7 linked regions of the Canis lupus familiaris genome follow. The protein of the gene in region 1 binds, or shares a complex with, the protein of each later gene. Links are inferred from orthologs where the notes say so. Each region holds a gene or a part of one and is shown in the gene's direction. Other genes may lie near its edges. The genes, in order: BRD8, MORF4L2, RUVBL1, ANP32E, ING3, EPC1 and MEAF6.

Region 1 (4,042 bases):
TTTACTCTTTCTGTTTCTTTGAACACAGTTTAGGGCCTGGGTGGGATGACTAATAGTCATTCTTTGGGACCCCAGATGAAACCCCAGGGACCTCTGTGGTGGGCAGGAGCAAAATACTCTGTCCTACATTTCCTCTCACAAACTACTGCCAGGAATTTTTAGCCCACTCTGTGGGAAGACAGATCTGTACCTCTTATTTCCTGGATTTTTCTGCTGATTCTCTTCCTTCCCCCAAGAAACCAAATCCCCCAGCATTGTTGAAACTTCTCTCTCAGGTTCTAATCAACTCACTCATGCTCAATTTCTTTGTCTGCCTATCATCTAGGATGGGGGCACCAGGGGGCGCCGCTGTGCCATTGAAGCAGATATGAAGATGAAAAAGTGAAGCTTCAGAGTATCCTCATTGAGCTGAACCTGAAGTAGAAGTAAACAAGAAAGAGCTTGGGCTTGTCGGCCCAGTTCCAGAAGTGGAAGATACAGAAGAGGAGGCATCTGGGCCATGTGACATGAGCTGGGGAAACTCTCTCAGAGAGTTGAAGTAGCACAATTGCCTGTTTTAGGGCAAAAATCATGGGCTGTGTTAATGTCCTAATGCGTAGCTAGCAGATTGTAGCTAGTTTGTACTGTCTTGTGAAGTGTACAGACTTTTTAAAACAAAAACAAAACACCTGTGAAGTGTATATGTATACACAATAAACTGAGAAAAGAAAACTTTAGCCTTTGGTGTGTTCTGTGTTTGTGTGTGTGAAAAACTTGTGGTTTTTTTTCTGTGCGATAATTGTTTTGTCTGTGGAAATAAGATGATTGGGGGGGAAGTGGTATTATGATATGAACTGTTCAGCTTGGAGAAGGTAAGTAATCAATATTGAAATTATAACTAATGTTCTAAAGTGCTGCATTGTGCAATGAGGATGATATGTTTTTCTGGAATGTTTGGGAAAACTTAAATGTTTTCAGAGTTCTGTTCATGGCATTGCTTTTAATGAAGATTAGAACGTGGACATAAGTAGCACTGACCTTTATCTCAGACATTTGTCCTACTTAGTGTCCTATCTTTGCAGATGGTATATCTAGGACAGTATAGCACTATTTCCTTCCTCATCCTTTATGTAGGGTTCTTGTGTATTTTAGAATTCATTGCTACTTGAAGGCAAAATCAGTTTCAGAGTTAGCAAATTTATTACTTGAGTTTCAGTTTTTGTTACTAAATAAAAATTGTGTGAAATGAACTAGTCATGAGCCTTTTATTATAAAGAAATGGACATTAATAGGGTATTGTCTCATATGTTGAGCCTTCTTGAAAAAGATATGTTTATGAAATATAAGTCACAGATCTTTCTGGCTTAAACTCTGAAGCTTGTTAGGATGCTAAGGCAGTAGCAGATAGTCTTACGGGGTGATAGGAATTCAGTCAATCCAGGAGTTAAAGATTAGTAATTATAGCATAGGAGCACCTAGGTAGCTCAGTCGGTTAAGCATCTGACTCTTGATCTCAGCTCAGGCCTTGATCTCAGGTTCAAGCCCCTCAATGAGTGCCACTCTGGGAGTGGAGACTACTTTAAGGAAGTACAATATATTCCCAAAGCAGTCTACAAACTTGCATGTGATACAAGCAGTGAAGCCCTAAAAATGGGAGAAGATTGTAGAGGAGTTCCATTAAAGGATGCAGATAGAGTTTGGGTTGACAGAGAACATGACGGGTATGCTTAACGGTAGATTGGATTAAAAATCCAGAAACCAGGGGGCTATGACATTTTATTCAAGAACAGAGGATGGGTTTTGAGAAAAATTATTGTGGATGAAAATTGGGAAGTGGGGTTACTTCCTGAATATAAGAGAAGTAAAGAGAATTGGGAAAATAGTGTTGATAAGGGGGATAAGGGAATTTGAGAAAGCGAATGCTTTTTAAGATAGAAACAGAAGTGATTTTAGTTAGAAATGTTGAGTTGAAGCAGATGGTAGGGCACCTAAAGGGAATAGTCCTTTGGGTGCATGGAAAAATGAGACCAGAATGCACATAAGAAGTAAAGGTGGAGATCTGAGAACTATTCCAGTAGGGAACAAAGTTGAAACCTCAAAACGTAGACCTTATTTTAAGTGAGTATTAATGAGGAAGCAAAGGACAAGCAAGAACACTGAAACTTGTAAAAGGAAAAAGAGCAGTCCTCTCAGGCTCAGAGAGTTAAGCATCCAACTCTTGATTTCAGCCCAGGTCTTAATCCCAGGGACATGAATTGGGCTCCATGCTAGGTGTTGAGCCTACTTTAAAAATAGGAGAAAGGGGTAAAAAAAACAGGATCGTGTAGTGTAATGAGAGGAAAGGAAGATACTTTTAAAACTTGATACAGTTCTCATTCTGCGAAGTGAGTTGGATATGACCAGAAGGATGCCACAGATAATTTTAAAGTATATTTTGAGGACTTAGTGGTTGATAGATGTCTACACACTGAGCAAAATAGCTCTTGTTCCTCAAATGTATTGTCTTCCAGTTGAGTTTAAGGGTGATTTGGGATAGAGGAACTACTATGCTAGAGGAGCTAGATATGCTCCTGTTCTTTTCTTTTGGAGTGTGAGGAAACCCAAGAAAAAATTACCGGGTAATACCTCTTTTATACTGTTTGACTTGGATCCCTGGGTGGCTCAGCAGTTTAAGTGCCTGCCTTCAGCTCAGGGCCTGATCCCAGGGTCCTGGGATTGAGTCCCACGTCAGGCTCCCTGCATGGAGCCTGCTTCTCCCTCTGCCTGTGTCTCTGCCTCTCTCTCTCTCTGTGCCTCCCCTGAATAAATAAATAAAATCTAAAAACAAAAACAACTGTTTGACTTGGGGCTTTTTCATTTTATTCCCAATGACAAAGATTTCATCCCCTGATGTCTCCCTTCAGCTAGCTTTTATTATGTGTGATGATGAGTAGAAAGAAGTTTCTGATCTCTTATCTTTCTACTGAACTTTAGACATGAAAATGCCTAAGAAATTGTAATATGAGTGAACTTAATGCATTTTTCTGTGTATTTACAGATGGGGCATGAGTGGGTTTGGTTCGATTCGGAGCCAGATTATTATCCCAATGACTCTGAGCTGAGCAACGACTGCAGGTCCCTCTTCAGTTCATGGGATTCCAGTCTGGATCTTGATGTGGGCAGCTGGAGAGAAACTGAGGAGCCAGGGGCTGAGGAACTAGAGGAAAGCAGCCCAGGGAGAGAACCTAGTGAGCTGCTTGTGGGGGACGGAGGCAGTGAGGAATCTCAGGAAGAGGCAGAGCAAGTCAGCCGCCAGAATCTCCTCCATTTTCTCTCTGAGGTAATGGGAAGCCATTATTTCCAAAGTTGAGTCTCAGGGATCCCTGGGTGGCTCAGTGGTTTAGCCTTCAGCCCAGGGCATGGTCCTGGAGTCCCGGGATCAAGTCCTGCATCGGGCTCCCTCTGCCTGTGTCTCTGCCTCTCTTTCTCTGTGTCTCTCATGAATAAATAAATAAAATCTTAAAAAAAAAAATAAAAAAGTCTCAACTTTCTAAGAGAGTGCTTGCCCATACATATTTCTACTACTCTTAATATTGTTCACTAAAATGCAAGCTCCACAGTGGCAGAAACTAATTGCTGTGTCTGTAGCACTTGGTGCTAATAATACAAAATATGTGCTGAATACTTTTTGACCAAGTGTTCTAAGATCTCAGTCTAAATTAAGAGCCCCCCCCCAAAAAAAATTAATTAATTAATTAAGAGCCCAGGGTCATAGGAAGTAGAATTTCCATATGCAGGACTGCCTTATGAATATCTTTTGTTTTTGTTTTGCCTTATGAATATCTGTTGCAATTCATTTTTTGGAGTCCTGGGAGGTGACATCCACACTCTTTGAAGGTTTTAACATTATGACTTCAAGACATTATTTTACAGTGTCCTTATTACACTGGTTTTAGAGTTGAGGGCCAGAAATAAACCGAGTTGGACAGAGTTTATATTTATGTGGCAACTTCACACATCAGGAGAACCTAGGTCAAGATCAGCAAGAATCCATTTTAACATGTTGTTACTTCTTTCTGCATTG
Region 2 (4,658 bases), on another chromosome or scaffold:
ATGGTCTATGTATACAATGGAATATTACTCAGCCATTAGAAACGACAAATACCCACCATTTGCTTATACACGGTTGGAACTCAAGGGTATTATGCTGAGTGAAATAAGTCAATCGGAGAAGGACAAACATTATATGGTCTCATTCATTTGGGGAATATAAAAAATAGTGAAAGGGTATAAAGGGGAAAGGAGAAGAAATGAGTGGGAAATATCAGAAAGGGAGACAGAACATGAGAGACTCCTAACTCTGGGAAACGAACTAGGGCTGGTAGAAAGGGAGGTGGGCGGGGGCTGGGGGTGACTGGGTGACGGGCACTGAGGGGGGCACTTGATGAGATGAGCACTGGGTGTTGTGCTATATGTTGGCAAATTGAACTCCAATAAAAAAAATAGATAAATAAATAAATAAATATAAAAACAAATCTCGGCCCTCACCCCTCTGTGTGTGCGTGTGCACATGCATGCATGCACACAAGTGTATATGATTGATAATTTAAAAATATTAATTTTTGTTTTTTTGAAGTTTATTTATTCACCCATCTAATAAGGAATTTGTGAGGAATAAAAGAATATCCATGTATAGGATATGACACAGGATCTAAAATATAGAAAGCATGCAAAAACCTAAGTATCAGTGAACATAAATCGTCTACTCAAGGTCTCACAGCTAGTAAGCCGGGAATTAAAATTAAGTCTCTAACTCCAAAGACATAACAAAGTGTAGCAGTACCACTACAAAAAATAGGGTGCAAACACACTTATTTAATAAAAATTTGAAGAGAAAAAGATCAGTTTTCAATATCAGGGTCCAAGTTCTTATCTGTCTTTATTGACTAAATATCCACCTACATTTTCCACTGGGGAGTGTTGTTAGCATTGGAAAAGATGCACAGAAAAGATTCAGATCTTCATGGGCATCAGTGCCTGGGGTCATTGATCAATTCTGACCCCACAAAAAGGCAAGGAAGAAAGGAAAGAGGGCTGGAGGGGAGAATTTTTTTAAAGAAGAAATAAGGAAAAACATATGAATCTAGAGCTATAGTTCTCTGTCTGGTTGGGCTAATTACAAATGTTAATTTGATTTTTCCTTAGCAATGAAAGATATACATGACCTCTATACATTGTGGAATTCAACAAATCAGAAAGGGGGGTAAAGGGATCCCTGGGTGGCGCAGCGGTTTAGCGCCTGCCTTTGGCCCAGGGCGCGATCCTGGAGACCCGGGATCGAATCCCACATCGGGCTCCTGGTGCATGGAGCGGGCTTCTCCCTCTGCCTGTGTCTCTGCCTCTCTCTCTCTCTCTCTCTCTGTGACTATCATAAATAAATAAAAATTTTTTAAAAAAATCTAAAAAAAAGAAAGGGGGGGAAAAATCCCAGGATTCCAGGGACTAACAGCCAATCCTTTGCTGGGATTTGGTGGCATCTAGTGGCAGATTCAGGAGGTATAAACCTCACCCAGAGAACTTTCTGGAAAACTAGCTGAGTGCTACTTGCCTGAAGGGCACTGTGCTTGGAGATCAAAACAAAAAGGTAAGAGAGCCTCAGCTTCTACAGAAATTGAGAGTCTCTATGTGTGTGTGTGTATGTGTATATATATATATATACATATATATATATATAGAGAGAGAGAGAGAGAGAGAGAGAGAAACTGAAGGGGAAGGTTATCACATACAGATATTTGAGGCAGAAAATTGTGTTTGTGCCAACAGAATGGCAGGCAACGTTGGAGGGGGGAGAGAGGATACTAGGGAACCGAAAAAAAAAGCTGCTCTTTGGAATTGCTAAGATGGGAACGTTTGACTCTTACCTTTTGGACGGCTATGGTTTAAAACAGGATTTTGGCAAGAGAAAAAACGTGGGAAGCAAGTGTATTTTTACGGTCTGAAATTAAATCGCTAGGAGAGGTAAAAATATTCCTGGCAAATGCTCTTTATTGGTTATGGTCGCCTTGACTTATTTTATTTTTCATTAGAACAATTTTCAAACTTCTAGAAAAGTAGAGAATATTCTGTACACAGCGCGCGTGCACGCGCACATGCACATACGCATGTGCGCGCGCATACACGCACGCCCGGATTCCAGGACACACGCCGACCCCAACGCTGTCTCTCAACGCTAGGGGCGCACGCCTGCGCACAGACACCACCTCCAACGCCACGAGGGCTGCCGCGCGCACATCCCAATCTCAAGGCCACGGGAGCTCGCCCGCGCACACAGAGGCCCCAACACCACGCCCACACACACCCACCACCCCAGCTTGTACACACATTAAAACACCCGCTCTGTTTTCTTTTTCACTCCGATAGTTGCGCAAGAGGTTGGGGGCGTGGCCCCAAATTTGACCTCGCGCTTCCCCACTCGCGGGAACCTTAGCTCATTTCCGCCCATCCTGTTTCCGCAGGCCACGTAGGCACTTCCTTTCCCAGTGGAAAAAAAAAACCCATAATGCCTCCCTGCAGGGGAAAAAAAAAAAAAAAAAAACTCTGGCCAGGGGAACTCTGGGTCGTGAAAATAGGCCACGTGAACACCCTGCCCTATAGACTTATGACCCAACGGCTGTCGCGCTTTTGAAGGGCGGGCTAAGAACCTAAGAGGGCAAGCGTCATTGGCCAGAGCCTTCTCTAAAGCAGAAAGATGATTGGTTTGCTTCAAGCCTTAACCGTGAAGAAGCAGGTTGCTAGCACCCGCCTTTACTGCGGCGAAGAGTCATCGCTGACGTGTTAGGCTTCGTCCAATCATTTGGTTATGGAACATTCTAAAACTTAGACAAGACGATTATCATTGGCTGGAGACCATAAGCCCGCCTCCAGGGTGACGTGTCTGCCTATGGATATCAGTTGCCAGAGAAACCTGGCTTTACTATGGCGGTTGGAGGGACGGCAGTGATCACACGTCGGCTGCTGGAAAGAACTGGATTCTCGTTTCAGGTTTCGGGGTGGGGGTGGGGTGAAAGGGTTTATGGTTTATTTCTATCGTCGCATATATTGACAATATTAAGTAGTGCCTTCACAGTTGGGCAGAGCTGCTTTCAAATTCCTACTCGCCAACGCCCAGCTTGGGCTGGCTCCTGTTCTTTCAGTGTCTCGGTTTCCATGTTTGTAAAATGGTGATAGTGATAGTATCTACCTCAGAGACGTGTACCTCAGAGGCTTGTACTGTGTATTAGTGCGTATAAGACGCTTAATACCAATCCTGGTTCCGAAAGATATTCGCTATTATTGTGGAGTGAAAAACCCGCGTAATAGAATGAGAAAAAAAACAAATTGTGTAAATTTGTTCATTACAGTGCTTTTTCTGCTCATCAGATTCTTCTTATAAGAAATTTGAGCTTTAAAAGAGACATATCAATCTTTGCCGATGAAATAATTTACTATTTGAGAATTAGCTCAAAATAGCGGGGATTGGAATTTTCCATATTGAAAAGTTTAAAAGGCGGGGGGTGGGGGAGATGGAGAACGAGAGCGATGAGGAGATGAACCACATGCGATGAGTAGGCCTTGTTTGGATCCTGATTTGAACACACCAACTTAAAAACACTTTAAGATGCATCGGGAAAATTTGAAAATGGATTTGATGTGTTTTTTTTTTTAAGGAATTGAAGTCAATTTTTTAGACGTTATAATGGCATTAATGGTTGTGTTTTCAAATTATCTTTATTTTGTAGAGGTATATAGGAAAATATTTGTGGATTAAGTAATAAAATGTCGGAGAATGACTTCAAATACGTTGATGACTGGGATTTGCTTCAAGATAATCTCAGCGGTAGAGGGAAGTGGGGAAGGGTATAGATGAAACAAAACTGGCCCTAAGTTAATAATTGTTTGAGCTAAGTGATGGGGCATATGAGGTTCCTTTTATTATTCCGTCATCCTTGGTATGTGTTTGACATTTTCTGTAATAAAATACATAAAATCAGCTATTCAGTGAGCTTAAAAAAAATCGGAGTGGGGGGAGCAGTGGGTGGGGTTATAGATAAAGCAAGATGGCCTTCAGTTGGTAATTGTTGAAGCTGGGTGATTGGTATAGGTTTATAATACTCTTCCTTCTACATTTTTATTCATTTGAAATTATCCTTATTAAAAAGTATAAAAATACAGTTACTTTATCAAAAATAAGGATAAATGTACAATAAATTTGAAAATATAACCACAAAAAAGGAAAAAGACACATTTGTACATTATTTATCAGCAGTGGTGTCCTTTGTGTGTGATAAAATGCATTGGTTGATGGAGAAAAAAAGGATCTCATATCTTTTTACTTTATGTCCTTTTCTGTCCCCTTCTTTGACCTTCCAGGCCAACATCAGAAAAGCTAAGTTTGCTGTATAATAAGGATCAGAAGATCTGATCCTGATTGCAGAACCATCCCTGATTACAGAATCTGAGTAAGTGCCTCCCTTCTCCTGGTCTCAATTTTCAAATAAGATAATTCCGCATAACCTTCCTAACTGTCCAGGAATATTTTGAAGATTAATAAGCCCCTATCTGGGAAAGCACTCTAAATTCTAAGAAGGGAAAGATGAAGCTAAGTCCACTGGTGATTCCAGTATAGCAAGGACCCAAACAACAGAGGACTGTATGATCTTACATTCTTTGATAAAAGATATTATACTTGATACCCTATAGTTAGTTTCATATATATATATATATTTGAAATT
Region 3 (4,042 bases), on another chromosome or scaffold:
GTTTCTTAGGGCAGACGGTCCTTTTCTATCTGTAATGTTCAGCAATTAACATCGACATGAGCTACTGAGGGACTCCTTTGTTCCAATTCAAATGCTCTAGTCACAGATGATTTCATGTGTATTGTTTCTTATCCCAGCCAAGCCTCTGGCCGTGAGTTAGCCAGCTTCTTCTGTGGCTTCCCTCCAAGCAGCGGGCTCAAGCCTGGGATTCTCTGGGTGTTAATGGTGTAGGGCAGGAGTGTTCTTTGAGCCCTTTGCAGGATTTCAGAAAGCCCGACAAAGCTGTGCCTTTCCCCCTGTTCTAGCAAACTCTTTAGTGTTTTAGCTTTGAGCAGGATTTGTGTCTGTTCCTCATGCTGGCAAGATGAAAACTTAACACCTTGACTAGTAAAATGTGGGAGAAGAACAGTATGACTATGTGACACCTCTGCAAAATGTGTGATTTTAAAACCCTAGTCTTCCCTGCTGGTAGTCTTTCAGTTTGATTTCCTCTTCATCCTGGAAGAGTCCTCCTCTTTACTAGCAGGGAATAGGCTTTCTTACTTGAAATTCGATCCTTGGGTGTTTTGCCCCTTCGAGCATTGGCCAAGACATTGCTGAAGAACTGTCTTGGACCAGCAGGTCCCTCTGTGTGGAACAGCTGTCCCCAAAGCAGCCTCCTGGGAGCTTTCGCCTTGGTTGGAGTGTTTGGCTGAGAGTTGGAAGTCGGGGATTGTGTCATTCCGACACTGATGAGCTTGGTCCATTAGTTGCTTTGCCTCCCTGAGTTTTCTGTGATTTAGGGCTCTTTGGCTTCGAGTTTCCTTCTCTGTGAAGAGGGCAAATAGTGCCTACCCTGTAGGATCAGATGTAGTTTCTCAGGAAACATCTGCTACATTTTACAACTAAACATTTAGTGAGCACCTCTGTGACCCAGCACCTGGCAAAACAGGATCACAAAATGCTAGGCAGGTGACAAAAGAGCACCTCTTCTTGCTGACTGCACTGGGAAGGGCTGGCAGGAGGGTGCAGCAGGTGGTGAGCCTGTTAGCAGCCTGCTGTTCTGTAGGATTGGCTTCCCCGACCAAGCAGCTCTAGACCAGGATGGGATTAATGTGACTGTGCAGTCGAGTCTGGAGACAGGAGATGCAGGAACAGAGATAAGTACGTCCTTACACTTCCCTCAACAGTCCATTCGTCCCCAAGGGAACTGGAGCATCAGCAGAGTGAAGGGCCAGATGCCCCATGAGGGTGTTTGACTTGAACTTGGATGGATAACTAGAGATTCCTGGAAAAGACACCGTGCTTCCTGGCAGGTGGACTAGAATATGCAAAAGCATTGAATCATAAAAGAACATGGGTGTTCAGAGAAGAGTACGGTCCTATGTGGCTACTCAGGGAATACAGGATCGGCAAAGGATATGGCTGAAGAAGGAGATTGGGGTAGGCCCCACAGAACTGGTACTTCCCACGAAGGGATTGTGCTCATTCTTGCAGTCCAAGGGGAACCTCTTAAAACTTCCTCCGTGTTGAGAGTTCCTCACGTTTTCCAGTGAGGGTGCCTGGGGTCTCCACACCTAGGACCCCGTGTCCAGCTGATAGTAAGAACAGTGTGATGGGGGTGGTGGTAGTGAGACTTTTGCAGCTGCCTTAGAAAGTTGGACTGACTCTGGGAATCTTTTGTTTTGCAGGGAGGGCAAGACATCCTGTCCATGATGGGCCAGTTAATGAAGCCAAAGAAGACAGAAATCACAGGTAAGAGAAATAGGCCTGTGAGCAAGAACCAGAACCCTAGAGCCCTGGATTCTGATGTACTGTGTGAGGCTTTTTTTTTTTTTTTTTTTAAGATTTTATTTATTCATGAGAGACACACACAGAGAGAGAGGAGGGGCAGAGACACAGGCAGGCCTCATGCTGGGAACCTGATGTGGGACCCGATCCCGGGTCTCCAGGATCACACCTGGGCTGAAGGCAGTGCTAAACTGTTGAGCCACCCAGGCTGCCGTGTGTGAGGCTTTTTGAGTGAATCCCCAGACCTGAGGAAATGCCTTAGGACAGGTTCGTTCTCCTTTTCAGAGCCTGGCTTTATCCTGGCAGTCGGTGGCTGTTTTAGACAGCTGTAAATAAAGCATACTGTGTGCTTCCAGCCCAGAGTGCTAGTGCATCCTCTTGAATGCATTCAGTATCCTTGCACTCATCTTTGAAGATGGAGGCTGCCAAAACCTCTGGTCCTTTCGAGGTCCAAGAAACATGGATGGTATTGCCCTAGCTGTGCAGGAGAACTCCCGCCAGACTGCTCCTGAGCACAGCAAATTCCACCACCTTGGTACTTGGCCTTCTTGCCCTACAGCCGCAAAGCAGCTCCCAGCCTGCCTGGCTCAGCTTCCTGGGCATGTCCCAGAGCTTGGCAGGAATGTCGCTGTTCCCTTGTGGACCTTTAGTTTACCCTGCTTCTCTTCCCAACTGGTACATCCCTCTTTTTTTCTAAGTATTACCTATAATTCTGTCACCTTAAAATGTTAAACATTAAAGCCTCTGTTTTTTGTTTCATGTTAGCCAGTGGAGTGATCTGAGACCTGTCTAGTAGAGTCTCCAAGAGCAGTTTCTGTGTTTTCACAGTTTTAACCATGAGTTCTCTTTTGACCATCCCTGCCTCATGAGTTTAGTGGACAATGCAGCATCAGATCTTCGTGTTCTGTGTTTGCGAGCAGCTCCCCCCTGATGCTAATCAGGAGCTGGTTTGGAAAATGAGAACTGTGACCTTAGATGGTCTTATGTAACTCTTGTGAGACCCGTCCCTCTAGAACTCTGAGGTTGGACCTTTCCTCAGAACCTGCATTCCTCACAGTTTTCCTTCCAGAGAAGATTCTGCACACACCCTGTTCTTCATCTAGGCACTTGATTGAAAGTTAATTAACCTAAGCTTTGTCACATAGGGCCAAAAGAAAGGGTCACTTAGCGCAGAACAGGAAAATTTGCATATGAAAACTCATTTCACACAGGGCTCCTCAACTTCTGTGTCTCTGCGATGTCACAGGGCACTAAATGGGTTGGTGTGAGTAATAAGGCAGCTGGGGAGTGTGCCCTTGTGAAGACATGCAAAACTATAAAAGCCACTTACAAACTTAACATATCAGCAGGGGAAGCTACCGGTTGTGTGACTTCTATGTGGTGATTATATTCCTATTTCCGGATGATAACACTGAAGTGGGGACATAACCTGCCTGGGTCGTATAGTTAGCAGTACAAGTGGGCTCCACACTTGAGTTAGGATCATATTCGGTTGGGGGAGAGAAGAAAAGGGGACCACTTCCCCACCTGACTATACTTGTCTCCTCTCACTATCTCCTAGACAAACTTCGAGGGGAGATTAACAAGGTGGTGAATAAGTACATTGATCAAGGCATTGCTGAGCTGGTTCCAGGTGTACTCTTTGTTGATGAGGTCCACATGCTGGACATAGAGTGCTTCACCTACCTGCACCGGGCCCTGGAATCTTCCATCGCCCCCATCGTCATCTTTGCATCCAACCGAGGCAACTGTGTCATCAGGTAGGGTGGCTCTTTGCCAGCCTTAAGGCCTTTCCACCTTCCATCTGGGTTCATGTTTTCCTCTGGGATCACTTTTTTTTTTTTTAAATTTTTATTTATTTATGATAGTCACATACAGAGAGAGAGAGAGAGGCAGAGACACAGGCAGAGGGAGAAGCAGGTTCCATGCACCGGGAGCCCGACGTGGGATTCGATCGCGGGTCTCCAGGATCGCGCCCTGGGCCAAAGGCAGGCGCCAAACCGCTGCACCACCCAGGGATCCCGCCTCTGGGATCACTTTAAACCCATAATGTAATAAGTCAAGATGGAGATGAAGGGAGATCATGTTCATTTTGAGAGAAACCTGCCAAAGTAGCTTGTCTTCACAGGTAGATAGTTCATGCATCAGCCTCATTCCATCATGGCACCAGAGGCAACAGCAACCACATTACGGAATCTGAGGGCCTCCCATGTGGGCTCTAGGGTTACAGTGCGGTGTGATTTGGTCATTCAGTTGGGAGAGGGCAAATGTA
Region 4 (4,042 bases), on another chromosome or scaffold:
ATATTAGAAAATGATAGAATGATAGAGAAGTGGGTTTTGAGATGTCCATAAGGTAAAACAAACTTTAGTGCATGTAATATTTTAATGAAAATCTGTACGTTGGAAATATTTCAGTATTTAGAAACCATAGTTCTCAAATAGTAAATATGGATGTTGTGAAAGGGAAATCTTTTTTTTTTTTTTTTAAGATTTATTTATTTATTTAGAGAGCGAGCGAGCGCACACAGGTGAACAAGTGGGGAGAGGGGCAAAGGGAGAGAGTCAAGCAAACCTCCTTACTTGAGGGCAGAGCCTGAGACCATGACCTGAACTGAAATCAAGAGTTGGACACTTAACCATCTGAGCCACCCAGGCACCCCCTGTAAAAGGAAAATCTTAAAAAAAGAAAATATCCCTGAGATAGTTTCCACCTTCCCATTGGCTTTAGAGTTTGAAGTGATTGGGGCAAGGGCAGATAGGCTTAAAGTACTAGCAAGAAACATTTGCTCAGCCACTCACTCATCTTTTAAAATATTTTTAAAGATGGAGATGAAGATGATGAAGAGGAAGAAGATGAAGCTGGTCCACCTGAAGAATATGAAGAAGAAGAGGAGGAAGAAGAGGAGGATGAGGATGAGGATGAGGATGAAGCGGGCTCGGAATTGGGAGAGGGAGAAGAGGAAGTGGGCCTATCATATTTAATGAAAGAAGAAATCCAGGTGAATAGGCATTTCTTTATTACTAAATAAAGTAATTATTTAGGCATAAAGCCAAGGTCTATAAATAGTTCAGTTGTGAAGAAATCTGAAAATTGTTACTAACTTGCAGGTCTGAGCGTGTCTATCTGTCATTTTTCCTACTGTCCCCTGGCTCAAACTGTATCTAGGGCAGCCTGGGTGGCTCAGCGGTTTAGCGCTGCCTTCAGCCCAGGGTGTGATCCTGGAGACCTGGGATCGAGTCCCACGTCGGGTTCCCTGCATGGAGCCTACTTCTCCCTCTGCCTGTGTCTCTGCCTCTCTCTGTGTGTCTCTCATGAATAAATAAATAAAATATTAAAAAAAAACAAAACTGTATACAGATCATCATAAGCACCTATGGTTTTACCACCTAGGTATCTTGAAAATCCATTCTGCCCAGAGCAGCAGGGTTCATGGAAACATTTTACAAAAGTTTCTGAGCTTCAGCTTCTGCATTTATAGAACTGAAAATAATATCAACCTCTTAGGCTCTTTTCAGGGTTTAACAAGAGAATATAGGTAAATTATCTAGTCCCTGGCACATCGTAGGCCCTCAGCAACACTTTCCCTCTAATTATTTTTTGTTTATGGTTTTGTTGTAGTTTTCCAAATGGCCTCTTAAATACAGTGTCACCACTTAGGTGTATCCTTCACAGTCTGTGCTTGCTTGCTTAGTCTGAATGCAAATGTGATCATATCACTGCCCTGCTTGAAACAATTTAATGTTTCCCTGTTGCCACCAAAATATATACAAGACCCATCACTATCTAGTCCCTGTTTGCCTCTCTAGCCTCTTCTCCCTCAATTTTATTTTATTTATTTTATTTTATTTTATTTTATTTTATTTTATTTTATTTTATTTATTTTATTTTATTTTATTATTTTATTTTATTTTATTTTATTTTATTTTATTTTATTTTATTTTATTTTATTTTATTTTATTTTATTTATTTTATTCTATTTTATTTTATTTTTAAAAATTTTTATTTATTTATGATAGCCACACAGAGAGAGAGAGAGGCAGAGACACAGGCAGAGGGAGAAGCAGGCTCCATGCACCGGGAGCCCGATGTGGGATTCGATCCCGGGTCTCCAGGATCGCGCCCTGGGCCAAAGGCAGGCGCTAAACCGCTGCGCCACCCAGGGATCCCCCTCAATTTTAAATTAAATCCTCACACTAAGCTGTTTCTTGCCTTTCTGTCTGAAGATACATTGTTTACTCTTAATCTGAAATGACTTGCTACTCATGCTCTCTGATGAATGCTTTTTTTTTTAACTGAGGTAAACATAAATATAGTTAAAGCCTGTAAAGTGCACGGATTTTATGTACAAGTTCACATTTTACTTATGTGTATACTTGTATGACTACCACCCAAATCATGACTCAGTTCTGGAGTTGCCTCATTATTGAAACTTTATCTATAATTTTTTATACTCCTTCCTTCATTACCTTTTTTTTTTTTTTTTTAAGATTTTATTTATGAGAAAAACAGAGAGAGAGAGAGAGAGGCAGAGATATAGGCAGAGGGAGAAGCAGGTTCTCCGCAAGGAGCCCAGTGTGGGACTCGATCCCGGATTCCAGGATCAGGACCTGAGCCGAAGGCAGATGCTCAACTGCTGAGCCATCCAGGCATCCCCCTTCGTTACCTTTGAATCTTGGTTAGTCTTCTCTTGCTCATAGATACTTTTGTAAAAACTTGTTTACTTGGCTACTTTCTACTAGATGGCGAGTTCCATAAAGGGAGGGTCATCTGTCTTTATATCTCAGTGTCTAGTACATTAACAGGGACATAGTAAGCTCACAGGAAGTGTCAGTTGACTTGAATAAATGATCTTTTGCCCCTGGGAATTACTATTTCCTCCTAATGTTTTTAAATTACTGAGTTTGTTTGCATAATTCAGAGTTTTTTATTAAAAATATCTCTTACTTAGGGCAGCCCCGGTGGCACAGTGGTTTGGCGCTGCCTGCAGCCCGGGGTGTGATCCTGGAGAACTGGGATCGAGTCCCGCGTCGGGTTCCCTGCATGGAGCCTGCTTCTCCCTCTGCCTGTGTCTCTGCCTTTCTCTCTCTGTGTCTCTATGAATAAATAAATAAAGCCGAAAAAAATATATCTCTAATTTAGACTAGAAATTATTAGTATTCTTATTTGTTCTCCTAAGGACTTTTACATTGGTTAGATAATATCCCTGATCAGTGATAATTTTTCTCTGATACCATTTTATTTTATTTTTTAATTTTTTTTAAGATTTTATTTATTCATTCATGGGAGACACACACACACAGAGAGAGAGAGAGAGAGAGAGGCAGAGACACAGGCAGAGGGAGAAGCAGGCTCCAAACAGGGAGCCTGACGTGGGATTCCATCCCAGGTCTCCAGGATCATACCCCAGGTCGAAGGCGGCTCTAAACCACTGGGCCACTGGGGCTCCCTGTTTTTAATATTTTTAATTAGTTGTGTTGTAACCTTATGTTTAGAAGGTGAGAGTCAGTAGAAGCTTCCGAGACTATCAAGATTCAAGAAAGAAAGTAGAAGGAGATAGAAATGGGATTTGATTAGCTATTTTTGGTTTGAGTATTCTTTTTATTTCAGTTACTCTTCAGAGGTAAGGAATTAATATGTAAAAAGATGGACTTTATGTTTGTGTAGTACACTTCATTAAAAATGGGGGTGGAGGCTTTAGAAGAATTGGAAATAGTGGTGCTCCTGTACTATACATAGTATAGTGAGGAAACATGGATTTCCCATTAGTTAGGAAGAGACCATAGTTTCTACTGAATAAGCCTTTGGTGAAAGCAGAGTTTTTATTGAGGGATATTATCTAAAATGATATTAAAAACTAAAGGCTTAGATGATGGCTATACTTGGCAGTGAGCATAGCTTTAGGTAAAGACTTGTTGAGTCACCCTGTTGTACACCTGAAACTAAGGTGACATCGTGTGTCAACTATATTTCAATTTAAAAAAAGGCTTAAAAATGTGAATCAGTTAATGTAACCATATATATATATATTTAAAGATTTTATTCATTTATTCATGAGAGACACAGAGAGAGTGAGAGAAGCAGAGACATAGGCAGAGGGAGGAGCAGGCTCCATGGAGGGAGCTTGATATGGGACTCGATCCCAGGACTCTGGGATCACACCCTGCGTCAAAGGCAGACGCTCAACCAATAAGCCACCCAAGTGTCCCCATATTTTGTTTAAAAATCTGGAGAAGCAATTAGCTATTGAGAATGAGAGACACACAGAGAAAGGCAGAGATGTAGGCAGAGGGAGAAGTGGAGAAGTAGACTTCCTCTGGGGAGCCCAGTGCAGGACTCGATCCC
Region 5 (4,713 bases), on another chromosome or scaffold:
CTTTTTTTTTTTTTGAATGGTAAGAAGGAAGGAAACAAAGAAATGACTATGGACCTAGATTCACCACTGAGAAACCACAGAAATATCCAAGAGATCTTAAAGGCAGCCGGAAGGAAGGAAGGAAGGAAGGAACGAAGAAGGGAGTGTAGGAGGGAGGAAACCCGAAAATCCTAGATTTTAGATAAAAGTACAGAAAGTAAACTAGGTAATCATTAGAATTGAGGTGGGTTTCCCTTGACATTCACCAACACGACAGGTGAGCATCCTGACCATGAGCGGTGGAAAAAGTCTTGGGTAGAAGAGGGCGGAAGGGAGAAAACTCAAAAATGCATCAAATGTCTCGACTCCAATTTGAAAAAAAAAAAAAAAAAAAGAAAAAAAAAGTGAAAATAGAACACTGAATGGCGAACTGAAGACACATTTCCCAGGAAAACGAACAGAGAGCTAAGGCAGGTGGGAGAGAAAGATGCTCTCGACCTGTGCTGCGTGCAGATGTTCTTAAGAAAAAGAAAACTGAGCCGTGAAGGACCGAATCCATCACGGGGCGGGGAAGGGGTCCCGGGGTAGAAGATGACCCCTCCCGCGGGTGTAGACAGCTGGGGGCGGGCTGCTTACTCAACACCGCCTGAAGTCATTCTTAGAACAGCTCATTCGACAGCAGCAAGTCTCCATCCGTTATTTCTGCTTGTTCTCTAGTTCTGCTTTTTTTTTTTTTTTTTTTTTTTTTTTTGGTGGGTGCACTTCGTGCGTTCAGCTCGATGACATCACGGTGACGACGAGCCGGACCGCGGAATAAAAGCAGGTAAAGAGCGCGTGGAGGGCGGCCACCCGTCCAGGTGCAGGAAAGCCAAGCAGGCGCCTCGTGGGTATTTTGAGCAGTCGGAGACTAAGGATGCGTTCCAGCCAGGAGTTCTGTCTTACACAATGCGGATCGCCCGAACTCCGCTGGCCGTTCCGGCGCTGGAACACCTTCCACCTGCCCCGCCCGCCTGGAAACCCGCGACTCCCAGCCGCCGGGGCCACCGAGGCACGCCGGCCGGGAACAGGTGGAAAGTTGCTCCTACTTGGGTTCCGCGGGCGCCTACAACTCCCGTCATGCCCCGCGCCGGCATCAACAAATAAACAGAGGCACCGCATTTCGGATTCCGCGGCGCACGGGGCGCAAGGCCGCCTGGTCTTCGTAGTTGCCACGCCGGTAACCGCCGGGCGCGCCGATCCTCGCCGTGGGGGGGAACCGGACTACACTTCCCACAAAGCCGCGCGGGCGGACTCCGGCCGGCTGACGTCATCGCCCCAGCCGGCCAATGACGGCTCCGGGCGGCAGTGAGGCAAGCGCCGTCAGGCGCCAAAGTGGTTTTTTTTTTTCTTTCTTTTTTTTTTTTTTTTTTTTTTTCCGCCGAAGCCGAGCGGGTGCTGCTAGCGGAGGCGCCATATTGGAAGGGACAAAACTCCGGCGACAGCGAGTGACACAAATAAACCCCTGGACCCCCTCGTTGCCCCAGCTCTAAGGGCCGCGATGTTGTACCTAGAGGACTATCTGGAAAGTGAGTGGGCGGCGCTGGCGGGGGCCGCCTGGGGGACCCGCGGGCGGGCGGGCGCGCGAGCGGCCGGGCGGGCGGGATGGCGGGAGGGAGGGGGAGGCGGGGGATGTTTCTTTCTCACGGTAACTGGCAGCCGGGCTGTGGGCTGCCGGCTCCTTCGCCCCCCCCACGCACGCACGCACGCACGCAGTGACGTCAGCGCGCCCTTCGCCGTTGGCCCCGCCCCGCTGACGGCCTCTCCCTTTGACAGTGATTGAGCAGCTGCCCATGGACCTGCGGGACCGCTTCACGGAGATGCGCGAGATGGACCTGCAGGTGCAGAGTAAGTCGGCGGTTCGCCCGCCCGGCCGCGCGCGGTCGGGGCCAGACCTTCCACCGACGTCGTCGCCTCTGCTCTCTGACTCTCCTCCGGCTCACGGGCTAGTGCATAAGGAGTCGTTTAAAAAAAAAAAAAAAAAAAAAACAAACGCCAAAAAAACCCCCCCAAAACCATAAAACCACACACACACATACACAAGGCAGTGCCGCATCTTGCCTCTTGCTGTCCACGCCGCTTCCCCCTTTGCTTTTACCCGAGGAGGAGGCGCTGGGGCCCGCGTGTGTGTTTCTTTCCCGAATTCAAGACTGGGATAAAAGTTTCTGTGCCTCGGGGAGGACGTAGACACATGCTTTTAACGCACGTCGGTGTAGGTGTGGAGAAGATGGTGGTTTCTGGCCCGAGCCCTTGCGTCCGGAACGTAGATTTCGGCATTTAGACTTCTGCTGAAGTTGGTTCTGCTCAGAATTTTCTGCAGAGCGGAAAACCCAGCAGCCTGGGGGTTGGTGTGGCTCTTTAGTGACCCCGCTGAACTTGGAATGTCGAGTCTTGCAAAGCCGCACCTTGCAGGATGCATTCCCACCCGCCAGCAGGATGATGCTATTCCCCCCCCACCCCCCCCATGAAAACGAGTGAGGAAAATAGACCTTCCTGTAAAGCTGCTTATCTGTTGCAATAAAAGTGATGACTTCTCATCGATCAGTGGTAGCTTGGTAGTCTGGTTCCTTCCCCCTACCCACCCACCCCCCCAAAAAAAATTAACCGTTGTTCTTTCATAGAGCAGTATTTGGTTTATCCGATTGTTTTGTTTTGTTTTGTTTTTGTGAAGGATTTGACTCAAAGCAAGGAAAGAGTCAGTGCCTTGGAAACGAGGAGGTCAACACTTGGAGCAAAATCACAGTTAAAACGAGTACGAATTTACGCCTGTCGTGCTCTGAAAGAACCTCACAGGCCTTCTCCCCCTTTTATGAAATGAATGTAATACAGCCGTTCCGGTTCTCTTGCAGGGATACCATACTGTGAACTACGAGTGCGGAATGAATTACACGTTACACGATTATTTTATTTTATTTTTTTTTTACGTTACATGATTAAAATGTACAATGGGGTGTGCGCTTAAGCCCGGATGTCACCCTCTCTGTAGATGTAGGCTTGGCTGCCAGCAGCGCATCTCGTCTAAATTGATCTAATGTTTTTCTAATACTGTGGATGACATGAGATAATGCAAATAGCCCGTTGACCTAGGTCCTGAAGACCGTCCAACAGATGGTCTTGGAGGCTGTTGGAGCCTGAAGATGGCTCCAACAGAGCAGGGGCTGCCATGGTTACTGACCTGCACTGAGTAGTTTTTATCCAGAAATCAATTAAAGTTGCATTTGTTACTTTAAACAAAACAAAACAAAACAAAAAAACTTGTGCAGTTGATATTAATGGCTGGCCTTCATGCGGTCTGTCCTCAAGAAAATACGTGCCTTGATCCCATTTATTCTAGCTGTGGTTAGGCTATCTACGTAAAATGTTTCTCATGCCACTAGGTTTTTTTTTTTTTGTCCTCGAAAAGTAGCGGTGGAGGAGGATCTGGGTTTGGGGGTATGACTGGGGGGAAAAGGGTATCATGGAAAGAAATCAGAGACCCAGCATCCCTGAGGATCCTGCAGCTCCTGAGGGCCTGTCCTTTCCCCCGTGCTTCCCCACCCCACACTCGCACCCCACGCTTTCATACCCACGGGTGATGAATATAGGTTCCTGAGCCTCTGGTGCGTTCCATGTGGCCATGCGGCATACAAGGTGATGGGCTACGGAAGCCTTCTTTATGTTCAGTGGGTCATAGTGTAGGAGTCTGAACTGTGTGTTTCTTTAGCTTGCCCACAAAATTCATTTTGACTGTCATGTAGTTGAAATGCTAAAGTAGCGTTTTCTATGGGACTGAGCACAGATCTTGATGTCAGATAGATCCGAGTTCGTATTAGAGTTTTGCTGACTTACTCTTTGACCTTGACCGCATTACCACTTCTGAGGGGTTTTCCTTGTCTATAGAATGGAGATCATCTGAGGATTTAAAATAACACAGTTAAACTAGAATTTATAGTATCTGATACAAAGCAGAAGTTCACGAAAAGGTGACTTATTTTTGCTTCGTTATCATTACAAATTTTAAATTCTCTTGTGATTTGTAATTGGATTATACAAATGAGAGGTTTTATTTTTTTATGTTTTTTAAAGATTTTCTTTAAAATCTTTGAGAGAGAGCACACGTGGGTGCAGGCACACGAGCAGGGGAGGGGCAGAGGGAGAGAGAGAAGCAGCCTCCCCCGCTGAGCAGGGAGCCGACTGGGGTTGGGGGCACCCAGTCCCAGGACCCTGAGGTCATGACCTGAGCCAAAGGCAGGTGCTTAACCAGCTGAGCCACTCAGGCGCCCCAGATGAGAGGTTTTATACACTTGCATTTTATAACAACTAGAATTTTCTAAAGTTAATAGATCCTATAGATTGATAAAAGAGACTTCTTTGTAAAACAAGTTAGAAATTGCTTATTTAAACAAAGGAAAAATTTTTTTAAAAAGTAACTAAGACTTCTTAGGATCTTGAAAAACCTATTGTATTATTGCCCTGAAAAATCTCCAGACGGTTTTCCTTCACTTATATAGCAACAGAATCATTTTTTTTCACTTTTCTTTTTTTAGCAGACATGGAATTAGATGATTATTCTTGGCACACACTTGGGAAAAACTTATCTAGAATAAATAATACAGTGTATTAAGTGAATAAATGTACCTTCTACTTTCAGTCATGATAGGAGATGATGGAGAGCTTAATGCCATATAGGAAAAGGTTAAAATCTTTTTATTACTTTTT
Region 6 (4,042 bases), on another chromosome or scaffold:
TCTAGAGATGATAAAAAGAAGAGAAAAGAGTAAAAGGGAGCTATTGCACTTAACACTGGAAATTATGGAAAAGAGGTAAAGTATACTTTAATAGGGTCGGCTGTATCATACCGTTAGTATTATGTGTATTGTAGTATGGTTCCTAATGAATTAACCCTAGAAATACCATCCTTTAATAATAAGTAGAGATTATTAAATGTGTGATATGATATACTTTGCATAATTTTACATCTGTTCCTCTCTTTATTTTCTTTAAAAGTGACAGACAGGGCTCGGTAAAATTAAAATATGCCAGGTATAATCTTATTCTTTTGTCCTTATTTGAGTTTGAGTGCAATGTTGGGAGGGAGAGAATATTTGTCAGTTATAAAGTTTTTCATTTACTCACCAGATGGTACTGATTTTTTTTTTTTTTTAAACACCTACTGGGTTTTTTAACAGAAGTATAAAGAAGGGAGGGGAAGAGGCCCATAATTTTAACACTCAACGATTTGGCACAAGATACACAATGAAAACTTCAAGCCTCACTTCCCTATTTCCTAGTCACTATCTCCAAAGAAAACCACTATTAAATTTCTCATAATTCATCTAAGGAAAATTAGTTTTATATAGTACAGGCAATTCAAATTAGCAGAAAGTTCTTCACCATTTTAGGCATTAATTTCAATATCTCCACCAAATCTTTCACCAAAATTGGTAAGTTAAAATTTGAACCTTTGTTTTTTTCCCCACAGTTATCTATTTATGGTGCAAAGGTAAAGCTATAAGCCAAAAAGTAACGGAAGAAACCGAAGGAATCATGTAATCTTCATTTTAAATTAGCATTCAGCAAGTAATCAAAGTTTAATATTGCCTTCAGTCTACTCAGTGTCTATAATCGTATCTCAGGCTTTAATAGTCCTAAATATTTACAGAACTAACTTTAATTTTTGCAGCTTTCTTTTCTATAATTTCAGGTATAATTTGGGTGACTATAATGGAGAGATCGTGTCTGAGGTTATGGCCCAGAGACAGCCAATGAAACCTACTTATGCCATCCCCATCATCCCGATCACTAATAGCAGTCAGTTTAAACATCAGGAAGCAATGGATGTGAAGGAATTCAAAGCAAATAAGGTGATAAAAATTTTTATGATAATAGTAGCTGGTAATAGAATGTTGTTTTATCATTAGAGTGAAAAAGAAAAATACATATAAACCCTACCATGAACTATGCTGCAAAGTCCGCTTTTGATTCAAGACTAACCTGTTAATACAACAGTAGGAATAGTAAAGAGAGATACTGTATAGATGAACTCTTTAAGAATTAACTTTTCCCCCAAAAAACTGTAATGCCATAAACTACATAAAACTTGATACAGACATTTAGTATCTGTACACAGCCATGATACTTGCCGTGATCTTTTTCTTTCCAACAGGTATTTTTACCTGTAACCTTTCTTACCTGTCATACACTTCATACTTTAATTAGCCTTTGCTCTTACCTGCACACATATTTCTAACGTGCACTATCAGCTCAATCACTCTTGCTTCTGTATTTTATCCTTGTGTTGTCCCTGTTTAATGATTTCATCTCTGTATCATCTAAAACTGCCTAGATTCACTCCAGAAAGCCTTTGTTGTTTAGCTGCCAAATCTTTACTTCCCTTTATTTTTGTGACACCTACATATTAGGAGTTATCTGAGGTGCTTTGTGTGTGTATAAGATTAAGATTGTTTGCTTTATTATTTTCCCAAAATGGATTTGTTAACTCTTTAGAATAAAGACTAGGACCTCCCCCCACCCCCCGCCCTTTTTATTTTCTCCTAGAATTTTCATAGAAAATTTAGGAAAAGGTACAGGAACCAATGATAAATACTAACTGTAGTTACAGGATTTCAGAAGCTGAAGAACCTCTCTTCTTTTACTTTAAATGAAACAAAATATTTTATGAGATGATGTTTAGGTTGTAAGAACATGTCAATGTTTCACAGAAACCAACCTGTAATACTTTACAATATAAGATGACAAAACATAGGCGTCTTAGATCTCTTCTGAGTGCGAATGACTTCATTATAGCTCTAATCCTGTTTTTAAAGCATACCCCAAACTGCAGGTTTGTTGAACATGGTTTCTAGTGTTTGATTAACATACGACTTTATTGCAGCAAGATAAAGCCGATCTTATCCGACCTAAACGTAAATATGAAAAGAAGCCCAAAGTCTTACCATCGTCTGCTGCTGCTACTCCTCAACAGACGAGTCCTGCTGCACTGCCCGTCTTTAATGCTAAAGATTTAAATCAGTATGACTTTCCCAGCTCAGATGAAGAACCTCTCTCCCAGGTAAAGATAAAAATTTCTCTATGAGCATAGAGGAGAAGGAAGGAGTGACATAGGAAGTCACATGTTTTGACCCACTTCATTTTATTTTAAAGGTCTTGTCTGGCTCTTCGGAAGCTGAAGAAGAAAATGATCCTGATGGTCCTTTTGCTTTCCGTAGGAAAGCAGGCTGTCAGTACTATGCTGTAAGTTTCAGGTTCTCTTTTTTAAATAATAAGTTGTTTGCCTTTAACTGACAAAATAAAATAATTTTTTTGTTTGTTTTTTGTTTTTAGCCTCACTTAGACCAAACTGGCAACTGGCCTTGGACTAGTCCTAAAGATGGAGGATTAGGGGATGTACGATATAGATACTGCTTAACCACCCTCACTGTACCCCAGAGGTGTATTGGATTTACACGAAGACGGGTTGGGCGTGGTGGAAGGTAACTATTTCTGTATTCCTAGCATAGGTACAGTAGGGACAAAGACAGTAGGGTAATCAAATCTAGAGCTTTAGAGAGGGAATCCTTCTAAATAGCTCATTTGTTTCCATTTTCTGTTCTTAAATGATTTTTTTGACTAAAATACTAAAAGAGATTACAAAAAGTTGTTTCAGAAGTTCTGGCACATATTAGAAGAAAGGACTGAATAGGCTAAGAAATGTCATGTAATTAGTACACTAGGTTGTTTAACTTCTCAGTGAAAACACTCTAGAAGGGGTCCCTGGGTGGCTCACTGGGTTAAGCATCTGACTCTGGGTTTCAGCTCAGGTCATAAGATTGAGCCCTGTCCCTCTGCCCCTCCCCCTGCTCATGTGCACTCATTCTCTCTCTCTCTGTCTCTCAAATGAATGAATGAATGAATGAATGAATAAAATATTTTTTTAAAAAGGCTCCAGGATCCATGCATGGTCTGACGTTGACACCCAGTTTTTCAGGATCTAATCACTCTTTTGTTTAAACATGATAGTACCCCCTGTACACTCTAGATGCCTTGTGTGAGAATTTGTGTGGGAGGCAGGAAGGAATTACAGAACACATAAAAGTGAAGAAAAAGAAAGATAATCCTGTATAGGTAGGGGAAAAAAGGCAGAACATAGTATCAAGGTGCTTTCAGGAAGAAACCTGAGGATGTAGAGGGTTTTTTTTGTTTGTTTCTTAAAGATTTTATTTACTTATTCATGAGAGAGAGAGAGAAAGAGGCAGAGACACAGGCAAAGGAAAAAGCAGTCTCCCCAAAAGGAGCCCAGTGTGGGACTCGATCCCACATAGATCCCGGGATCATGTCCTGAGCCAAAGGCAGACACTCAACTGCTAAGCCACTCAGGCATCCCAGGATGTAGTTTTTAATGAATGCTTTATACGTATGTTTCTTTCATTTTCAAGTCTTAATTGCAGTTTTTAATTACTTTAGAATTGTCTGGACACTGAAATTATTTATTTTATTTAGTGCTTTCCCCCCAGTCATTACATTGATATCAATAGTAGCCAAAATTCCATGTCATTTATATTTTATACTATACTAACATTAGTCGCTGTTAGTATTTTAAGATGGAATTACTTATAAAGTTTATATAAATAACATAAAAATATATCTTCTACAGTAGTAGATCTCAAATATTTTGTCGATAAGAAATTTTAATGCTATAAAATATCCCAAAGATAGCATACCATTTACTGCTTTCTCCTACCTCCTCCACCCCTGCCCCCCCCCCCCAAAAAAAAGAAGGAAGTTTTTGCT
Region 7 (4,637 bases), on another chromosome or scaffold:
CCAGGCCCAGATGGTGATGGTCTCACTGAAGACACCTACCAAACTTTAAGAAAAATTACCACCATTCTATACCATCTCTGCCAGAAATTAGAATATCAGGCAATACTATTACTTTGATATCAAAGCCAAATAGGACAGTACAAAAAAAGAAAAGAACCAAACTCTACAGACTAATATCCCCAAAACTTTAGCCACAAAAATTCTGGATATTAGCAAATTGAATCCAGCCCATATAAAAAGAATTATACAGGGCAGCCCCGGTGGCCCAGCGGTTTAGCGCCGCCTGCAGCGGGGGGTGTAATCCTGGGGACCTGGGGTCAAGTCCTGTGTTGGGCTCCCTGCATGGAGCCTGCTTCTCCCTCTGCCTGTGTCTCTGCCTCTCTCTCTCTCTCTCTCTGAATAAATAAATCTTAAAAATATATATATAAAGAATTATACACACTGGCCAAGTGAGGTTCAGCCCAGATATGCAAAACTGGTTCATAATGGAAATAAATCTAGATAATCCACTATCCCAAGACACTAGAGAAAAAATGATTGTGTCAATGGCATAGAAAAAAGCATCTGACAAAGTTCAATACCCATTCATGATAAAAACTCTCAATAAGGGATCCCTGGGTGGCCCGGGATCCCTGGGTGGCGCAGCGGTTTGGCGCCTGCCTTTGGCCCAGGGCGCGATCCTGGAGACCCGGGATCGAATCCCACATCGGGCTCCCGGTGCATGGAGCCTGCTTCTCCCATTGCCTGTGTCTCTGCCTCTCTCTCTCTCTGTGTGACTATCATAAATAAATAAAAATTAAAAAAAAAAAACTCTCAATAAGCCAGAAGTAGAGGGGGAACTTTCTCAACTTAATAAAGAGCATCTAGAAAAACAGTATAGCTAACGTACTTAATGGTGAAAGACTGTGACCTCTCTTAATGTAGAACTGGAAGTCCTGGCCAGCACAGTAAGGCAAGAAAAAGAAATAAGCATACAGATTGGAAAGGAAAAAAAAAAAAAAAATCAACCACCTTTATTTGCAAATGAGATCACGTAAAAAAAAAATCAAAGAATCAAAAAATAAAAAATCAAGGAATCTGCAATAAAACCCTCCCAGAATTATAAGGGAGTTCAGCAAGATTTCAGGTTACAAGATCAACACAGGAGAGAAGTTATCCAGAATGCAGCAGAGAGACCAAAAAAAAAAACAAAACAAAACAAAAAAAAAACCAGTGGGTGAAAAACAATAATAAAGGATTATTACATTTGATTTGAGTTCCAGAAGGAGAGGAAAGTGAGGCCCAGGAATACCTAAAGATGAGAATGTCTCCGAAGCAGGGGAAGATCACCGACCCACAGGCTGTAGAAGCCCAGACTTCCAAGCAAGGCGGGGGTGGGGGGTGGGGGGGGATGAAAAATGAAAAAAAAAAAAAAAAAATCCGGGTCGTGATGGGGACATTGCAGGACCCTGGAAGGTGCCAAGGCGCCGGTAAGCCCTCTTACTACCTGCACTTCGCGGGCCCGGCCTGGACCGCGGGGGAGTCGGCCCCGGCGGGTCGTGACCTCGGCCCTGCGCGCGCTGCCCTCCGAGGGGCCGCGGCGAGGTCTACACCGGGGCGACACCCGGCCGCACCCTCGGGACCCGGCTCCGCGGGGCGGGAGGAGGGCGGAGACCTGGGCGGGGCCCCGGCGGGAGGGGGCGGGGCCGGCGCGCGCCCCGGAGACCCGGAGACCCCGCGCGCAGGCGCAGTGCGGCGCGGGCGCCCCCTGGCGGCGAGGGCGCGCAGGGCCCGCCCCCAGCCCGCCGCCGCCGCCGCCTCAGCCCAACATGGCGATGCACAACAAGGCGGCGCCGCCGCAGATCCCGGACACCCGGCGGGAGCTGGCGGAGCTGGTGAAGCGGAAGCAGGAGCTGGCGGTGAGGCGCCGGCGGCGGGGCGGCCCTCCGGGGCCCGGCGCCCGCCCCCGGCCCCAGGCCCCGGCCCGATCGCGCCGCGGCCGTTACTCCCCCGGCGCCGCGGCCGGGAGCGCGGAGCCCGGAGCCCGGAGCCCGGAGGCCTGGGGGCGGCTGCGCCTTCCGCGGCCCGAGCGGCCCGAGCGGCCCGGCTGGCGGCGGGGCCGGGGGCAGGGCGGGGGCGGCTGTGCGCTGGGCCTCCCGCGGACCCGGGGCTCGGGGGCGGTGCGCTGGGAGGGGGGCTCCGGGGGGGCCTGCGATGCTGGGGGGCAGGTGAGGCCGAGGTCCGGGGCTCGGGGGGGCCTGCGATGCTGGGGGGCAGGTGAGGCCGAGGTCCCGGGGCTCAGGGGGGCTTGCGATGCTGGGGGAGCAGGTGAGGCCGAGGTCCCGGGGCTCGGGGGGGCCTGCGATGCTGGGGGAGCAGGTGAGGCCGAGGTCCCGGGGCTCGGGGGGGCCTGCGATGCTGGGGGGCAGGTGAGGCCGAGGTCCGGGGCTCGGGGGGGCCTGCGATGCTGGGGGGCAGGTGAGGCCGAGGTCCGGGGCTCGGGGGGGCCTGCGATGCTGGGGGGCAGGTGAGGCCGAGGTCCCGGGGCTCAGGGGGGCCTGCGATGCTGGGGGGCAGGTGAGGCCGAGGTCCCGGGGCTCGGGGGGGCCTGCGATGTTGGAGGGCAGGTGAGGCCGAGGTCCCGGGGCTCGGGGGGGCTTGCGATGCTGGGGGAGCAGGTGAGGCCGAGGTCCGGGGCTCGGGGGGGCCTGCGATGCTGGGGGGCAGGTGAGGCCGAGGTCCGGGGCTCGGGGGGGCCTGCGATGCTGGGGGAGCAGGTGAGGCCGAGGTCCCCGGGCTCGGGGGGGCCTGCGATGCTGGGGGGGCAGGTGAGGCCGAGGTCCGGGGCTCGGGGGGGCCTGCGATGCTGGGGGAGCAGGTGAGGCCGAGGTCCCGGGGCTCGGGGGGGCCTGCGATGCTGGGGGACAGGTGAGGCCGAGGTCCCGGGGCTCGGGGGGGGGGGGCCTGCGATGCTGGGGGGGCAGGTGAGGCCGAGGTCCCGGGGCTCGGGGGGGCCTGCGATGTTGGGGGGCAGGTGAGGCCGAGGTCCCGGGGCTCGGGGGGGCCTGCGATGCTGGGGGGCAGGTGAGGCCGAGGTCCCGGGGCTGGGGGGGGGGTGTGCCTCCGATGCTCCGTGGGGGGGGGCAGGTAAGGCCGAGGTCTCGGGGCTGGGGGGGGGTGCCTCCGATGCTCCGGGGGGGGGCAGGTAAGGCCCTAGGTCCCGGGGCTCGGGGGGGGGGGGGGGTGCCTCCGATGCTCCGCGGGGGGGGGCGGCAGGTGAGGCCCGCGACCCGGCCGGCAACTCAGGCTGTGCCCTGGCTCCCCCAGGCTCCGGGCCCCCTCCCCGCGACGCGCGCACCGCCGAGGCGGGCTCACCTGCGGCTGCCCTTGCAGGTTTCCATGACAACTGACAGCCGGGGCTGCGGCTGGGGGGCTGCTCACCCCTTTCGCGCCAGCAGCGGCAGCGCCTTTGTGCGTGGGCGTGGAGGCTGCTCAAGTCCTGCTGACAGCTGGCCTGCCAGGAGCCCTCCGAAGCATATGCAAAATCTTGCACATTTTTTGGGGGGCGGGGAGGGACTCTTTTAAGATTTTTTTATTTTTTTATTTTTTAAATTTGTTTATGAGAGAGGGAGAAGCAGGCTCCATGCAGGGAGCCCATCGCGGGACTCTATCCCGGGACCCCAGGATCGCACCCTCGGCCAATGGCAGGCGCCAAACTGCTGAGCCACCCAGGGATGGGGGGAAACTCTTGACAGCTGCCCTGCCATGAACCCTCTGAAGCATATGCAAAATTTTGCACATTTTGGGGGGGGGGGGGCAAGACACAGGCTCTCTTCATTCCCTTCTATTCCCAAAGGGCTCCAGCAAGACAGGTCTAAGGTTTGCACAGTGTTAACCTAAAAGTGCCTTCCTCTCCCCACAGCTGGTCTCCCTTCCCCTCCCTGGATGGTCTCTACTATAGGGGACCTCGAAGGTCTCGGGCTAATACTAAGGGTCTGGTCTGGTCGGAATTAACGTTTGCATTTAAAAGGTATTATCCATCCATGTCCTTGTTTTTTCCCCCGTCTCCCAGGAAACACTGGCGAACTTGGAGAGACAGATCTATGCTTTTGAAGGAAGCTACCTGGAAGACACTCAGATGTACGGCAATATCATCCGCGGCTGGGATCGGTACCTGACCAACCAAAAGTGAGTGTCACAGGCCTGTTGGTATTGTGCCCCCAGTCGTTATTTATTTTTCCGATTATCTACGTTCTTGGTAGCAGCTTTGGAGGGAGGCGGCAGTAAAGCGGTGGTGTGAAAAGCCATCTGGGGTCCAACGTGGACTCTGGCTCAGCCTCTGCCTCACTGAGTAATTGTGGACAAATCCTACATCTGGGAAACAGGGGAAGTTGGGCCGGTGGTACAGGGTGGTGTGAGGCATAAACCAAACACAGCGAATGACAGTACCTGACGTATCACTTTTTTAGTGTTTCCCTTTTTTTTTTTTTTAATCAGTCATGAGTTTCACCTTTACAGTATTTGCCACCCCTGTGTGCTGACCATATTACAATTTAGTGATAACTATTTAGAACTGTCTAAACGTTTTAAACATCTTCAGGTTTGACATTGAAATAGTACTGTGCACACTTGATGCCCGTGACCTGCTTTCATCAGTT

The links.
Region 2: BRD8 (region 1) and MORF4L2 share a complex: the UniProt entries of both Homo sapiens proteins name them as parts of the nuA4 histone acetyltransferase complex. The link is inferred for Canis lupus familiaris from reciprocal best matches to the Homo sapiens genes BRD8 and MORF4L2.
Region 3: BRD8 (region 1) and RUVBL1 share a complex: the UniProt entries of both Homo sapiens proteins name them as parts of the nuA4-related complex. The link is inferred for Canis lupus familiaris from reciprocal best matches to the Homo sapiens genes BRD8 and RUVBL1.
Region 4: BRD8 (region 1) and ANP32E share a complex: the UniProt entries of both Homo sapiens proteins name them as parts of the SWR1-like complex. The link is inferred for Canis lupus familiaris from reciprocal best matches to the Homo sapiens genes BRD8 and ANP32E.
Region 5: BRD8 (region 1) and ING3 share a complex: the UniProt entries of both Homo sapiens proteins name them as parts of the SWR1-like complex. The link is inferred for Canis lupus familiaris from reciprocal best matches to the Homo sapiens genes BRD8 and ING3.
Region 6: BRD8 (region 1) and EPC1 share a complex: the UniProt entries of both Homo sapiens proteins name them as parts of the nuA4-related complex. The link is inferred for Canis lupus familiaris from reciprocal best matches to the Homo sapiens genes BRD8 and EPC1.
Region 7: BRD8 (region 1) and MEAF6 share a complex: the UniProt entries of both Homo sapiens proteins name them as parts of the nuA4 histone acetyltransferase complex. The link is inferred for Canis lupus familiaris from reciprocal best matches to the Homo sapiens genes BRD8 and MEAF6.

The regions. Positions count from the first base shown.
Region 1 is NC_049232.1:25,848,770-25,852,811, reverse strand, and holds part of BRD8 (bromodomain-containing protein 8), read left to right. Parts: intron 1-325; exon of another isoform or gene 326-716; intron 717-3,016; coding exon 3,017-3,298; intron 3,299-4,042. UniProt on the Homo sapiens protein: May act as a coactivator during transcriptional activation by hormone-activated nuclear receptors (NR). Isoform 2 stimulates transcriptional activation by AR/DHTR, ESR1/NR3A1, RXRA/NR2B1 and THRB/ERBA2.
Region 2 is NC_049260.1:77,644,582-77,649,239, reverse strand, and holds the start of MORF4L2 (mortality factor 4-like protein 2), read left to right. Parts: upstream 1-1,465; 5' UTR 1,466-1,531; intron 1,532-2,717; exon of another isoform or gene 2,718-2,928; intron 2,929-4,296; 5' UTR 4,297-4,385; intron 4,386-4,658. UniProt on the Homo sapiens protein: Component of the NuA4 histone acetyltransferase complex which is involved in transcriptional activation of select genes principally by acetylation of nucleosomal histone H4 and H2A.
Region 3 is NC_049241.1:2,139,006-2,143,047, reverse strand, and holds part of RUVBL1 (ruvB-like 1), read left to right. Parts: intron 1-1,670; coding exon 1,671-1,734; intron 1,735-3,331; coding exon 3,332-3,530; intron 3,531-4,042. UniProt on the Homo sapiens protein: Possesses single-stranded DNA-stimulated ATPase and ATP-dependent DNA helicase (3' to 5') activity; hexamerization is thought to be critical for ATP hydrolysis and adjacent subunits in the ring-like structure contribute to the ATPase activity.
Region 4 is NC_049238.1:60,124,626-60,128,667, reverse strand, and holds part of ANP32E (acidic leucine-rich nuclear phosphoprotein 32 family member E), read left to right. Parts: intron 1-522; coding exon 523-698; coding exon of another isoform or gene 699-728; exon of another isoform or gene 729-743; intron 744-4,042. UniProt on the Homo sapiens protein: Histone chaperone that specifically mediates the genome-wide removal of histone H2A.Z/H2AZ1 from the nucleosome: removes H2A.Z/H2AZ1 from its normal sites of deposition, especially from enhancer and insulator regions.
Region 5 is NC_049235.1:59,197,566-59,202,278, forward strand, and holds the start of ING3 (inhibitor of growth protein 3), read left to right. Parts: upstream 1-1,454; 5' UTR 1,455-1,516; coding exon 1,517-1,544; intron 1,545-1,791; coding exon 1,792-1,863; intron 1,864-4,713. UniProt on the Homo sapiens protein: Component of the NuA4 histone acetyltransferase (HAT) complex which is involved in transcriptional activation of select genes principally by acetylation of nucleosomal histones H4 and H2A.
Region 6 is NC_049223.1:12,483,764-12,487,805, forward strand, and holds part of EPC1 (enhancer of polycomb homolog 1), read left to right. Parts: coding exon 1-75; intron 76-956; coding exon 957-1,116; intron 1,117-2,147; coding exon 2,148-2,324; intron 2,325-2,416; coding exon 2,417-2,506; intron 2,507-2,596; coding exon 2,597-2,745; intron 2,746-4,042. UniProt on the Homo sapiens protein: Component of the NuA4 histone acetyltransferase (HAT) complex, a multiprotein complex involved in transcriptional activation of select genes principally by acetylation of nucleosomal histones H4 and H2A.
Region 7 is NC_049236.1:5,015,481-5,020,117, forward strand, and holds the start of MEAF6 (chromatin modification-related protein MEAF6), read left to right. Parts: upstream 1-1,747; 5' UTR 1,748-1,808; coding exon 1,809-1,898; intron 1,899-4,051; coding exon 4,052-4,167; intron 4,168-4,637.